Rattus norvegicus: one gene and its partner. The protein of the gene in region 1 purifies or fractionates together with the protein of each later gene. This does not show direct contact. Links are inferred from orthologs where the notes say so. Each region holds a gene or a part of one and is shown in the gene's direction. Other genes may lie near its edges. The genes, in order: Tada1 and Atxn7l3.

Evidence for each region.
Region 2: the proteins of Tada1 (region 1) and Atxn7l3 purify together in Homo sapiens (affinity purification with mass spectrometry; 6 studies listed by BioGRID and IntAct, counting the BioPlex papers as one, with this or other methods). This does not show direct contact. The link is inferred for Rattus norvegicus from reciprocal best matches to the Homo sapiens genes TADA1 and ATXN7L3.

Annotation. Positions count from the first base shown.
Region 1 is NC_086031.1:81,175,667-81,178,216, forward strand, and holds part of Tada1 (transcriptional adapter 1), read left to right. Parts: intron 1-1,153; coding exon 1,154-1,305; intron 1,306-2,550. UniProt on the Homo sapiens protein: Probably involved in transcriptional regulation.
Region 2 is NC_086028.1:87,744,554-87,747,252, reverse strand, and holds part of Atxn7l3 (ataxin-7-like protein 3), read left to right. Parts: intron 1-196; coding exon 197-263; intron 264-381; coding exon 382-467; intron 468-776; coding exon 777-845; intron 846-1,075; coding exon 1,076-1,119; intron 1,120-1,342; coding exon 1,343-1,414; intron 1,415-1,491; coding exon 1,492-1,649; intron 1,650-1,734; coding exon 1,735-1,883; 3' UTR 1,884-2,699. UniProt on the Homo sapiens protein: Component of the transcription regulatory histone acetylation (HAT) complex SAGA, a multiprotein complex that activates transcription by remodeling chromatin and mediating histone acetylation and deubiquitination.

The DNA of each region.
Region 1 (2,550 bases):
CCTATTGGTAGAAGTAACTACAGATGATTGTGAGGAGCTTGTGTGTGTAAAGCTGATCCTGACAGGAACTGCATGCCACTCCTTGTCGTCACTGAAGGAGAGACACCTCACACTTAAAACCGAAGAATCACCTTTAATTGACACGTTTTCCAGACAGGTTCCTTCAAGTACTCATTCGCCTGCTAATCTCTTGTTTTAACTTGTCAATATAGGGAGAGTTTTTAAGAAGAAGAAAACAGAGATCAGAGACTGGGGTGGCTTAGGTCACTTGTGTAAGGTAGTGAGTGCTGCATTTAAAGAGCCTCCGTGTGGCATTTAAACAGTGGGGCTGTTGAACCCATGCCTCAGTCACCTGTCCACTTTGACAGAAGTGCATTGCACCAGTGCCAGACAGTACACAGCTGAGGGTAGATTATCCTCCTAGACATTTCTAAGATGATTGATGCCTTAAACGACTTCTGTGTGAAAACCCATATTAAACTGCGCGCGGGTGTACTGATAGAAGATAGTTACACCGGTATAAGTACAGGGCCTAGCCTGATCCTGGCTCTCCTGTGCTAACATGCATTGGGAGTGTTTTAGTTTCACATTCCCCAGCCAGCTCTGAGGTACTTGGCTCTTCTATAGGTGAGGAGAAATTGAATAGACATGTGTGGTGTTCTGCATCTGTTTGAAGAGCTTTTGAGAACAAAAAGCCTCTGCAGTGAACTTGGTAACCAGCGAATACTAGGTCTTATGTCAAATTTTAAAGTCATTTGTCTTTAAAAAAAAAAACAAAAAAAACCCAAAAAAACCAAACTACTTCCTTTCCCAAAACCCATTTCTGAGAAGCTTCAGCTAAGGAAAACAAAACAGAATGCCAGTGGAGTGGTGGACATCTGCTCTGTGTGATGTCCAGTCTCAGCCCTGCAAACTGAAATAAAATCCACTTCAGAGCAAAGCTTTCCCTGCAGAAAGCCTCCTCCTCCTAGAGAGCGGAGTGAAGACTCTGGCTCATGCGTCACCCGTACCCTGCCCCTGTCGGCGTGTACTCTGTTGAAGGGCAGCACTCTGTCGTTCTGCATCTCCACCTAAATGGGATGAGCGTGTGACAGGGGAACTTCTACACTTTGCCTTTGAGGGGCTCTTGCTATTTTTCTTTGTTTTTTTACAGAATCACCTCAAAGATATTCTGACTTCAGTTGTGTCGAGAAGGAAAGCTTACAGGGTTCGGGATGGTCATTTTAAATATGCCTTTGGTAGTAACGTGACCCCACAGCCATACCTGAAGAACAGTGTGGTGGCTTACAACAACTTGGTTGAAGGGTGAGTGCGTGGCTTCCTGTGCTCTGCTGCTTGGTCACTGACTTTATGCGATAGGCCACTGTTTAAAGGATCAGTTACTGTGTCTCTGCAAGTTTGACTTCAACACAGTTATTTCTTAAGCTGCATGCTCTATGGTTTTTTTTGTTTGTTTGTTTGTTTGCTTTTTGTTTTATTCTTTTTAAATCAGTGATCGTTTGATCTGATTGCTTTCTCACTTTCTGAAGTGGGATTGGGTAGTTCCTCAGATCCTCAGGTTGTTTCCTGATGGTAGCCTCTGCCTGTTGAGGATGTGGTTGGTCTCTTCTCAGCCAGAAGTGTGGTCTAAGGCTGGGTCTTTACAGTGGGAAGAGGAGGAAGAATGGTAGATGTTTGTTCATGGCCTCATATGACCCTTTTAGCCGGAGCTCAAGGCGGTGGCCTGTGTCCATGTCGTCTGATTGTTCTCAACATCCTGTTGTACAGATATGATCTAGATCCTCAACCCACTCTGGCTCCCAGGGCCATCTTCAGTTCCAAGCCACTCTTCTGTGAGTTGGCTTGGGTTACCTTTACCCATTCTGCTTTCTCACAAAATGTAGTGTTACTTTTAACCTGTAGGAAAGAAATAGCAGTACAGTTTTCTTGTGGTCACCGTAGTGACTGTTCTTACTCTAAAGGCTGGAGTTTGTCTGGTTGTCTGTCTAGTGGAGGACAGGAGGAAGGATGTGACCATACAAGGTCAGAGCAAATATTTAAGACTGGAAGGACAGGTAGGAGCTGCAATAGGGAGCTTACAGAGAGAAGGCAGGGTGAGCGCTGACAGTGGCTTTTCCAAGGCCCTGGAGACACTGATGAGTATCATCTCTTTAGGTTTCCACCGGTGGTAAGTTATTTCCCAAACATCATTCAGACATACTTGTTTGGCATTGCTTCATGTTTAAGTCACTCTCTAGGGAAAGACGAAAAAGACAAACCCCAGTGTTTGGGTAATCAGAGATGTTGGATTGTCTGTGCCATGGCTTTGTCCTGGAGCCCTCCATCCTCGCTCCCCGTCCCCAAAGCTGTTTCCCTAGCAGAGCTTCTCTCGTCTGGCGCTTTACATCCAGTTGCTGCCCGTCTTCGCTCCACATTCCAGGCAGCTGTGTACTTGCTGTGCTAATGTAGAGGCCGTGCCTGACTTCCCAGCTTGTCAGTTATTTTGCTTGCTTTGGGAAGTTAGCAAGATCTGGGTAACTTTTATTTTACTCCCATTTTGTCTGCTACTTT
Region 2 (2,699 bases), on another chromosome or scaffold:
GGGCATCCCTGGGTTTGGGAGTAAGGGTGTCTGGTGGACGGGAGCTCCAGAGGTTTTGTTGGTGGGAGGGAGGGAGGGAATCTAGACAGACAGTCTTACTGGGAGGGATAGTATTCGTTTGAGGTTGTTTCTTTGTCAAATCTTTTTTCCTTCCCTGGGTTCTCGGCTCCCCCTTATCATTGCCCTTTCCCCAAAGCTATGGTATCTCCCATTCCAGAACCCTAATTCCCCTCGAAGATCCAAGTCTCTAAAACACAAAAATGGTAAGTGGGGCTAGACCCACAGGGTGCTGCTAGCTATGTTACTACAGGGCTTGGAGTGGGGATGAGGGAGGGCCTGTGATCCTTCTGTCACCCCCACTTCCTCTCTGGTTATTTTCAGGGTTCTCTGTCTGTACCTCTGCATCAAACACCCTTCCCCTTCTTTTTTCTTCTTCAGGGGAACTTAGCAACTCCGATCCTTTTAAGGTGAGTGGATGCTGCCTGCCCTTCGTGTGCTTCTCCTTACTCTTGTGAGGTGGTTGGGATTTGGAAAAATGAGGCCAGGATGCTGTGACAACTACAAGTGCTTGTAGCGCTATTTAAGCCTTGGGTGTTCATGTTCTTTGTGGGTCCCGTCTCCGTGTCTATGTGCAGGTAGATTGGAAGGACTTGGAAAATTACTTGGAGGCAAGGGTGAGAGGGACTGCTTTTCCATCTGCTCCTTTTCTGGCTGCCCACTCTTTACTTCTCTGACCCGTTTTTTACTTCTAACCTGTACCTCTGGTTTTCTCACAGTATAGCAACTCAACTGGGATCAGCTATGAGACCCTGGGGCCAGAAGAGCTGCGGAGCCTGCTCACCACAGTGTGTAACTGGAGAGGGAGGGCTTTGGTGTGGGCTGGACAGGGAGTAGGACCCTGAAGGAGACAGGTGGCACAGCAGCAGGAGCCATAGTGTTCTGTGAAAGTGGGCTTCCTAGTCCACTAGCTCTGGGGTTGGTTTCTACTTGGTCAGTCTAGCGCTGGTATAGAGGGAGCATCTAGTGTTTCGAGCAGGTCTCCTGCCCCTCCTTTCAGCTGTGTTCTTTTTTCCAGCAATGTGGAGTAATTTCTGAACATACCAAGAAGATGTGCACAAGGTGAGCTTGGAAACTTAAAAGGGGGCTGACTGGGCATGGGTTGGGCGTACCCCTGGATCTGACAGTGGGCCCACCCTTACCCTCCCTTCATCCAGTAGGCCTCATTAGCCACCATCTGGGGATTCACCACTGACTCTTTCCCTGTCCCTCCAGCTTCTGCTTCACCTGAGTTCCTGAAGTCCTTCCCTGCCTTGTCAGGGTCTGATCATTCTGTCCCCACCAGGTCACTACGCTGCCCGCAGCACACGGATGAGCAGAGGCGAACCGTGCGGATTTATTTCCTTGGGCCCTCGGCGTAAGTGTCCTTTCCAGGAGGGCGGTGGGTCAGGTTGCTGCTCTTTTCCCTAACATGTCTCTGATTCCTCCTTCTAGCGTTCTTCCAGAGGTAGAGAGCTCCTTGGACAATGATGGCTTTGACATGACTGACAGCCAGGCCCTCCTCAGCCGGCTTCAGTGGGACGGTTCTTCTGATCTCTCACCGTCTGATTCAGGCTCCTCCAAGACTAGTGAAAATCAGGGATGGGGTTTAGGTATACCATGCACTTGATCTTGGGCTTTGGCAGTGGGCACCCTTCCACAATTGCACTTTCATCCCGTGTGACTCTTCTTCTGTAGGTACCAACAGCTCTGAATCACGGAAAACCAAGAAAAAGAAATCCCATCTGAGCTTGGTAGGGACTGCCTCTGGCCTGGGCTCCAACAAGAAGAAAAAGCCAAAGCCACCGGCTCCCCCAGCGCCCAGCATCTATGAGGACATCAACTGACTTGGGTGCAAGGAATAGCCTTTGGCTGAGAGAGCCCTCTCTCCCGACCCCCACCCAGGCAGCATAGCCTGGCACATGGACAGCTGCTGGGGGTTTGGGCATGGGAAGCTTGGTGGGCCAGGCAGGCAGAGGATCCAATATGTGCCCCTGGGGGGTGTCAGGATCCTCTGCAATGAAGCATGACCCCTCGGCGTGCAGGACTCAGACCTGGACATATTATGCCTTGGACATAAGTTTGGTGGGGAGGCGGTTTTCCTATTTATTCTGTGAGTTACTGGATGTCCAGCTAGGCTGGGGGCCTGACCTGGGCACTGTGCCAGGGCACTGCCTGCTCCCCACCCCAGGAACTGGACTAAGCCCTGCCGAGGGGCATTGTGGCTACCCAGGCGGCTTTGGGTTGGAAGCTGAGCCCAGAGGGGGCCTCCCCTGGCTGCCCTCAGCAATGTGAAAGGGTCTGGTGCTTGGAGCTGAGGGGCAGGGCTGCTATGTCCTGTTTGTGTGCAGAGTCCTATCAGATGTCCCCATTCCCCGGGGTCAGCAGGCACAGTGCTGTCTGCTAAGGTGGGCGTCCAGAACTGCCTCACAGGGGGCAGCCCTTTCCCCTCAGTCCCCATGGGCCTCCTTGGCAGCAGGAGCTGTCCTTTTGTTGTTGGGTGCCGGGAAAGGGCCTCCAGCCTCTACAGCTTCAAGGAATGGGAAGGGGAGGGTAGGAAGAGGGAGCCTGTATCAGAGTGGCCCCCTGCCCTCCCTGCCCCAGGGCTGTGAGGAACGGCCCAGGTGAGAGGGACGGTGCTGCTTTATTTGAAATGTTTCTTA